2 linked regions of the Sus scrofa genome follow. The protein of the gene in region 2 purifies or fractionates together with the protein of the main gene of each other region. This does not show direct contact. Links are inferred from orthologs where the notes say so. Each region holds a gene or a part of one and is shown on either strand. Other genes may lie near its edges.

Region 1 (4,449 bases), about 64 Mb from region 2:
CCTTCAGGAGGTTGGAGGACAGGTTTTCATTTGGACCAGATGAGCAGCAGCCCCCAAGGGAAGGTGGACAGGAGTCTGTGCCTATCCTGGGGCTTGTAGTCATGAGAAAGGACTCCAAGTAGAGCCCCTACCTTCCCCACCTTGCTAGGTTATAGGAGGGGAAAGACACCCAGTGGAATCAGTCGCCGATTCAGACCCTTCTTTTGAGGATGTGGGCTCTTCATGTGCACAGAAGCCCTCTGGGTCGTAACCTTCCCCTGCCATGTTCCTGTTTAATCTCATCTTCATTCCCAGGCCCCTATCCCAAGCCTGCAGATCTTCTTACCGTGACGAAGACAACATTGTTGGGGAAGACGGACGTGTCTGCTCCATCCAAGGGCACTTGGGGTGCAGCGATGGGACCCCGGCTGGCGGTCAGGGAAGCTGGGAAGCAGCTCCTCTTTTGGACGGTTGAGGTCCCTTCCTCACCCTCTGTTCCTGGGTCCCCCTCAGAAGTCTGGGGTGGCTGACGCAGCTCTTCAGACAAGTAGTGTCGGATGTTTTGGCGGGCCGAGTGGATGAGATGGGGATCAATGTCCAGGCCCACCATGCGGGATGGGCCCCACTTACAGGCAATGCTCAGAGTCAGATGGCCCACGTTGCAGCCCAGATCTAGGACGTCACGACCCCGAAACCACTCAGGCTTCATAACCCGAAGGCGCCCATCCTCACAGGAAGGATTGCGGTACCCATAGTACTTGCAATAATTCCCATACTGGAACTTGCACTGCTGCTTTTTGAAGCCTGCTGCAGGTAGTGGGTGGGGGTGTTGGCGGCCTCCCCCACTCCCTCTGCCCTTTTCCTTGGGACCCTGGCCTCCACCCCTAGCCCCTGCCTCTGACTTGCTGGAAGTCCTGCGACGTTTGCGATGTCGTGAGGAGGAAGACGGGGGTGCAGAGGTAACTGAGGCAGCTGAAGGGGCTGAAAGGGAGCCTGAGGGACCCTGTAGGGCAGATGGAAGGGGAGACACGACCTCATCCCTGCAGTTGATGGCTGTGTTGAGTTCATAGGGTTGGGGGACGTCCCGGTTCTGGCCCCTTTGCCGCTGCTGCTGTGTGGTGCCCTCCCCTTGGAGTGAGGGAGTGAGGGGGGCTGTGGGCAGCACGGAGTGGCTATCATTCCCTCCAGTTGCCTGCTGCTGCTGCTGCTGCTGGTGGTGCTGTCCCCGATGTCTATGCCGCTTCCGACCAGTCTTGAGTGGTGAAGCAAGGACTACTTGGGCCTCATCAGTGCAAGTATTGAGACTGAGAGGGTCAGTAATATCTTTGGGGATGAGTATCTCCACTGGATCTCGTCCCTTGGCCGGAAGTGGGGATGACTTAGGGGTCTCCGCATTGAGTGCACGGCTCACTTCCTCATCCAGGAGACTATTCAGGTTCAGCGGATCAAAGATATTGCCCCCCAGGAGGAAGTTGGAAGGTAAGACAGAGTCACAGTCCGAATTAACCCGCCTGCGCCTCTTGAAGGCCGGATGTTTGAAGCCTCCACCACCTCCCCCTACATTACAGCTATTTCTCCTCTTGCCCCCACCTCCCCCAGGGGGCCGGTGGGGCTGATAGCCATTACGTGGTCGAGGAGGAGCAAGGGGGCCCAGTTCTGTTCCGCCCCCTCCCCGGCGCTCCTCCCCCACGTCCGGGGGAGCGGCTAGCCCCTGGGGATCCGACAAGCAGGCCTCTCCGGTCGACTGGGCCTGGGGGCCGCCCCCTCGCTGCTGCTGCGACTGGCCGCCCCGAGGGGTGGAGGTAGCCCCGGGGCTCTCCTTGCCTGCCCCAGAAGCTGGGGACCCCGCCGAGTGTGCGCGCGGGCCCGGCCCACGCTGCGTCCCGCCGCGGAGCTCCCCGGAGGCGACCTCTCGGTGTGGTTGCACCGTGGGGCCGCCCCCTCCGCCCGACTCATCTTTGAGCGGCGGTGGCGGGGCCGGCACCAGAAACGGCTCCTTCTCCGCCGCCATCTCGATCATTTCCTCCCCTTATTCCGTCCCAGTCGAGGGCAACCAGGGGGACCAGGGGGCTTAACCCCCCCTTCCTAAGACCGCGCTCCCTTCCCCCCTTTCCTGAGTGCGCGCGCAGTTCCGCTTCTCGCCTAGTCTCGTCCCCAAGCGCCTCCCCCGAAGCGCGCCCCACTCGCCCGCGAGACCAAAACAAGATGCCCGCGAGACCCGAACTCGAGGAACCAACCGCGCGTGCGCCGACTCCTTTCTCCTCTACCACTACCGCTTCGCCGCGAGCGCGCACTGCTGGAGCGCGTTCCTCTGGCCCCGGAATCACGCATGCGCACTCAGCCACCACCCTGGTTGCGCGCGCATCAGAGTACGAACCAACTTAACGGCTCCGGGAGTTTAAATATAGCCCCCCTAAGCCCCCCCAACCAAAGCCCACCACCCCAAACTGACGCCCTACTTCCCTTCGCAGCTACGTCCGTCCCTAGTGATATCCTTTGTCTCTGCCGCGCGATCCCACCCACCGTAGGCGGGGGACGGGGAGCTGGTGTGAAAAGGTCTCCTTGACACCCGACCCTTGTTCCTGAGGAATGAGTCTCTGCCGTCTCCGCCCGGCTCTAAACCCAGCAACCTCCCTACCCCGCCTCCTTCCTCCCCCTAGCGGGCAGCGCCTGCGCACACCCTTTTGGGCTTGCGCGGGTAGATGCAGCACGTGCTGGAGATGACGCCCCTCCCTCCGTCCTAGAGGCGGGGACTGCTACGTCGCTTCCTCAGGTTTGGTACGCGCAACATGCGTCAGCACGATTCGGAGGGGCGTGGCTAAAGAACGGGGAGGCCCTCGTGAATTATTCATAAAGTGGTGGCCCTCTTGGCCCACCTATTTCTAAAGAGGGGCGAACCTAGAAGTAGGAGAAGGAAAGGAGCGGAGTGTACCCACTGTCTTCCTAACTACTGTTCTCAGTATAATACAATAGGTCATTTTAACTCACCCCCCTGGAAAATATTCTCTGATGAACTGGGGGAAAAAAAGTACTAAGGCGATGTTGTCCAACTTCCTCTTTCCCCGAAACGGCCAGGTCGTTCTCTCGCTCCTCCGCCTTCCCTCAATCGCGATCACCTGGGGACACCACGCCCTCCTCTCCGCCTCCACACCCACCACCCGACGCCTGCTCGCGAGCCCCTCCCCCCGTTAGGGAACGGCGACCCAGACGCCCACCACAGCCACCAATAACAGTATATCTACCACCACCGCCCCCTTTGCACGCAGGCTTTTCCGAGCACCCGCGGCGCGTTTGCGCCGCCTTATATAAAAACGAACGTGGGCAGGGAAGAGATTTCGGTCGGCTTTGGGGGCCCCGGCCTCAGCCAATGGGGAACAAGCTACTCGATGCCCTTTTCAGAGGGGGCCCGTTCTCCGGGCCCACAGCGATTGGGGTTTGGGTCCTGTGGCTGCGAAGAGGGCGAAAGAGGCGGGAGTGGTGTTAAGGGTAGTCTCAAAATATCAAAATAAGGGTTTGAAGGAGACTCAAAGGGAGAATGGGAATCAGGAAGGAAGTCTAGGGCAGAGAAAAAAGTTAGGAAAAGGAAGATGGGCTTCATGAACGATCAGGCACTGCTGCTGCCACCTAAAAAAAAAAAAAAGTGAGGCCAACCAGGATTATGGGACTTGTAGTTTTACAGGGCGTTTGTTTGGAAGATGGCGCTATAACTCAGCTGCGCAAGCGCCGAACTAGCTTCCAGCTGCGCATGCGCAGCAGTCCTGCGAGCACGCCGCTTGTAGGAGGGGTGGGGTGGAGCTTGTGTGTGGCCTCGCGCCTTACCTTGCTTGGTGGCGGGAAAACTGGCTCGAGTTTTGGAGGGGTTTGCAGAGTTGCTGCGGTAGCTCATTCTGCTCCTGGCCTTTAGGTCCTCCTCGCTCCAGAAGATTGCTGGTGCTTTTCCGGTTGCAGGTGAAGGTGCTAGGCGCGGCCAATCCTAGTACCTGTTGCCTGAGGAGAGGTTTTCTCTTTAGGGCGAGGACCAACTCTTAGCCTGAGGAGAAGTTTTCTCTTTAGGACGAGGACCAACTCTTAGCTCTCTCCTCAGAATCTCCAACAGCAAACTCGCACCCAACAAACAAACAAAAGTAACCCAGTAGTATCGGGGCGGGCGACGACGGGCCGGAGAGAATGAGGATCCTGGTGCCTCCGCGGGCTGGGGGAGGGGAGAGGGAGCTGAGGGGAAATTCACGAGGAGTTTCTTGATGGGGAAGAGACAGTCACTGTTTTACCTATTGAGGGGAGTGAAGAACTTTTGCCTGTGGTACCTTTGGTGTTAATTGCCGTCCTTAAGAGGGAATTGGTGAGGGAAGAGAGAAGGGAAATGTAGGTCGCCCAAAATTCTTCCTTCTGGTTTTAAAGGTGGAAGTAGGCCTTTTACTGTTCCAAGCCTTGGCTCTTTGAGAGGGCAGATGGTGAAGCGATGTGGGAGTT
Region 2 (4,318 bases):
CCTATGCTGCAGCTTGTGGCAATGCTAGATCCTTAACCCACTGAGTGAGGCCAGGGATCGAACCCACATCCTCATGGATGCTAGTCAGGGTCTAAACCCACTGAGCCACTATAGGAACTCCCCGACCCAATATTCAATGACAGAATCTTACGACCAAAACAGAAAAACAAAGATTTTGTTATATTTTGGTTATTTTAAAAACCAAACAAAGTTGTGAAGAAATCAGAAGGTAATCAAACCATATCCAATCCAATGGATATTTTATTTTATATTTGAGACAATACATAGTGTTTTATTTAATATTAAGCAACAATCTTAAATGTTCAGGATATTCTCCAACACCCAAGTATACTTTAGCAAAATAAATGCATATTGAAATTTTAAATAATTTGAATTAAGCAACAAAATTCCATATCAGCAGGGTAGTATGAGAATATGAAGCCAAGGGCGTTCCCGTCATGGCTCAGCAGAAGTGAATCTAACGAGTATCCATGAGGATGCAGGTTGGACCCTGACCTCACTCAGTGGTTAAGGATCTGGCATTGCCATGAGTTGTGGTGTAGCTCACAGACACAGCTCCGATCTGGTGTGGCTGTGGTTTAGGCCAGGGGCTACAGCTACAGCTCCCATTCGACCCCCCACCTGTGAACCTCCATATGCCGTGCGTGCAGCCCTAAAGACAAAAAGAATATGAAGCCAACAAGTCAAACCAGTTTTTACCTCTTTGCTGTAGGCTAGAAAATATGAAACTTCATTCAATTTTAATGTATATCATGGAGAATTCAAAGATAAATAAGACATGAGGCCTGAAGAAGGTGTAAGAAGACAGGTTTTTACAAATAAAAATATATAGTATGACATGTAAAACAATCAATTTTACTAGGATGTTATAAAAAAACACAAATATAACACATATGAACTTATTTTATTTAATCCTTATGAAAGCTTTTTAAGTTATGCATTGTTATTACCACCAATTAACAGATGGGGAACCAAGGCCCAGAAAGGTTAAGTAAAATTTCCAAAGTCACTCAGCAGTGAAAAAGTTTGAGCAAAATCAAATGGTTCAGTTTGGCCCAAGAACATGGTACTCAAATATTAGCGTGTGTAATATTTGGTGCTTGGATTTCAAATGGAGGAGCGTTACTGCTGGTTCAAGAAGTCTGGACTTTATTATGCAGATGGCAATAAGTTACTGCAGCAGTATCAGGCATGGCTAAGATTACTGAAGCATGTGTAAATCAATCCATTACGCTGTACATCTTGAACTTACGTAGTGCTGTAGGTCAATTTTATCTCAAAAAAACTGGGGGAAAAAAAAGACTACTTTGGCAATGATTTTTAAGAGGGGTAGGAAGAATATGATTGGGCCAGGGTATCTCAACCTTGGCATACTGACATCTGGGACCAGATAATTCTGTTGTTGAGTGATGTCCAGTGCACTGTAGAATATTTAGCAGGAACCCTGGCCTCTACCTACTAAATGCTGGTAGAACCAGACTCTCTACACCACAGTTAAGAACCACAGAATTATATTAAAAGCAGACGGAAGATATAAAAATGCAAAAAAAAAAAAAGATTTCGGGCCTCGTGGGTGGCATGCGGAAGTTCCTGGGCTAGGGACTGAACTTGAACCACAGCAGTGCCATGTTGGATCCTTAACCGGCTGAGCCACGAGGGAACTCCAAAAAAAGATGGTAAGGAAGAAAAAGTTAAAAGTCATTTTGGAGGTAGACCTGGCAGGATCTCACAATTATTGAAATCTACATATAAGAAAAGAAAGGTAATTAAAAACTCTCATTAATATCTTAAGAATCAAAAAGGAAATCTTACCAAGAACACCCCCCCAACAAAAGAGCCTTCTCTAATTAGAGAAAAATGAATGTTCTCACGCATTCCAGTTAACAGAGCAAAATATCACACATTCAAGTTCAACCTAAGTGCAAGAAATTAAGAAAAAAGAACGGGATTTCTTTTTTTTTTTTTGTCTTTTTGCTATTTCTTTGGGCCGCTCCCGCGGCATATGGAGGTTCCCAGGCTAGGGGCTGAATCGGAGCTGTAGCCACTGGCCTACACCAGAGCCACAGAAACGCGGGATCCGAGCCGAGTCTGCAACCTACACCACAGCTCACGGCAACGCCGGATCCTTAACCCACTGAGCAAGGGCAGGGACCGAACCCGCCACCTCATGGTTTCTAATCGGATTCGTTAACCACTGCGCCACGACGGGAACTCCCAAGAACGGGATTTCTAAGTTAAAGCTCAAAGGAACCACCAACACACTAAGATGAAGGCAGCTTTTGAATTTCTCATATACCATCAAAACAATTCCATTCCATCCACCTCCTTAGTTCCTTACAGAATTACTGTCCAACCACCTTATCTCGAACGTGATGCTACTCAAGGCGTTCAGCTAACTGTGGTATTCAAGATCTTTAAGTAACGAAGGATCGAGTGCCAGAGACCCGGCCAGGAACTCCGGCCTGGGAGGCAAACCTGCAGACGGAGGGGCCTTTACGTCTTTGAAAAGCATGCCCACCAGGCCGAAATACAACATTTGCGCGGGATGCAGGCCCGGAAACGTGGGACGGTGGCCCGGATCGCGGCGGCAGCCAGTGGCAATAAGCACGGCAGACACACTCTCCGGAAATGGCTGGGGATCCAAGGAACTCAAGGCCTACAAAGAAGCCGCCATTTATGCGCGGCCCTCATGCATACTTACTTCTTCAACTCCGGCGGGTGAGCTTTGCTCATGATGCCTACTCCGCGAACTCAAAGAAACCTCCAAACGGAATTCGTGTTCTCCCTCACGCTCCAGCGGTAGGCCCGGTGCTTTGCGTCTGACGTCACTGATCCCGTTAGCCAATTGATTGTTGGCCGCTTTCACGTTTCACGTCGCGATACTTAGGAAAATCCTGAGCTCGCAGATCAGTCCCAAGCTTCCGTTGTGTCGCCAGGGATTGGCTAGAGCGGAGGGGTGGGGCCTCCAGTCTTTATATTCCTCTTTGTAATTGGGTTGCTGTTCCTGCCTCTAGCATTTGAAGGACGCTGGTTAACTCATTGTCTTTGTGGGTTGCAAAGTTGTCTTGACGCTACCAGATGAAAATAAGCTCTGGAGGGGTAGGCTCCTAAAAATTTCTTTGGCATGTGTGTGCATACTTCCATGTGTTGTTCTTCCCTTTGTTGTCCTCTGCAAACACTGCGGTTTTTTTTTTTTTGGTCTTTTTAGGACCGAACCCTCCGCATATGGAAGTTCCCAGGCTGTGGGTCAAATCTGCGCTGCAGCTGCTGGCTTTTGCCATAGACAAAGCAACGCTGGATTCTTAACCTACTGAGCGAGGCCAGGAATCAAACTAGTATCCTCATGGATACTAGTCCGGTTCTTAACTCCCTGAGCCACATCGGGAACTCGTTTTTTTTTTTTTTTTAATTTAGCAAATTGAAGGTTTGAGGCAGCCCAGAGTCCAGCAAATCTCCCAGCGCCATTTTCCCAAGAGCATTTGTTCACTTTGTGTCTGTGTCATTTTGATAATTCTTACAGTATTTCAAATTTTTTCATTACTGTATTCGTTATGGTGATCTATGATAGGTAATCACACTAAGAAAAAAAAAATCTTGTGACTTGCTTTGAGGTATTTGCTTCACTGTTGAACCTGTGGTATTTTAGTATTCCCACAGGATGTCATGCTACAACTAAGGTTCTAGTAACAGCTCAGTTAACGACCTCTGCACCAAAGGAATAGAGTGAGGGGGCCTCAGTTTCCAAAAATTTTAATCTAGAGGAGTTCCCGTCGTGGCGCAGTGGTTAACGAATCCGACTAGGAACCGTGAGGTTGCGGGTTCGGTCCCTGCCCCTGCTCAGTGGGTTAACGATCCGGCGTTGCCGTGAGCTGTGGTGTAGGTTGCAGACATGGCTCGGATCCCGCGTTGCTGTGGCTCTGGCGTAGGCCGGTGGCAACAGCTCCGATTCGACCCCTAGCCTGGGAACCTCCATATGCCGCGGGAGCGGCCCAAAGAAATAGCAAAAAGACAAAAAAAAAAAAAAAAAAAAAAAAAATTTTAATCTAGAGGTCATAAGTATATTCCCCACGGACAGTCCTGCAATGCTTCCAAAACCCCACTTAACTGTACCTTGCCCCTCTATATAAAGTATGAAGAGCAGCACACAGATGATTTCTAAAATATTGATTTTCAAGTCGAAAGGTGTAAAAAATGGTCTGATTTGATCCTAGTTAAGTTTCCCAAAAGAGGAGCAGCCCACATTTATGAATCAAGAACAATAGGGATTATAGAAGACTTAGGCCAAAACGGAAAAGCA

What was found.
Region 1: the proteins of SNRPG (region 2) and MEPCE purify together in Homo sapiens (affinity purification with mass spectrometry; 3 studies listed by BioGRID and IntAct, counting the BioPlex papers as one, with this or other methods). This does not show direct contact. The link is inferred for Sus scrofa from reciprocal best matches to the Homo sapiens genes SNRPG and MEPCE.

What each region holds. Positions count from the first base shown.
Region 1 is NC_010445.4:8,355,209-8,359,657, reverse strand, and holds the start of MEPCE (7SK snRNA methylphosphate capping enzyme), read right to left. Parts: upstream 3,057-4,449; 5' UTR 2,000-3,056; coding exon 326-1,999; intron 1-325. UniProt on the Homo sapiens protein: S-adenosyl-L-methionine-dependent methyltransferase that adds a methylphosphate cap at the 5'-end of 7SK snRNA (7SK RNA), leading to stabilize it.
Region 2 is NC_010445.4:72,197,280-72,201,597, reverse strand, and holds the start of SNRPG (small nuclear ribonucleoprotein G), read right to left. Parts: upstream 2,877-4,318; 5' UTR 2,755-2,876; coding exon 2,723-2,754; intron 1-2,722. UniProt on the Homo sapiens protein: Plays a role in pre-mRNA splicing as a core component of the spliceosomal U1, U2, U4 and U5 small nuclear ribonucleoproteins (snRNPs), the building blocks of the spliceosome.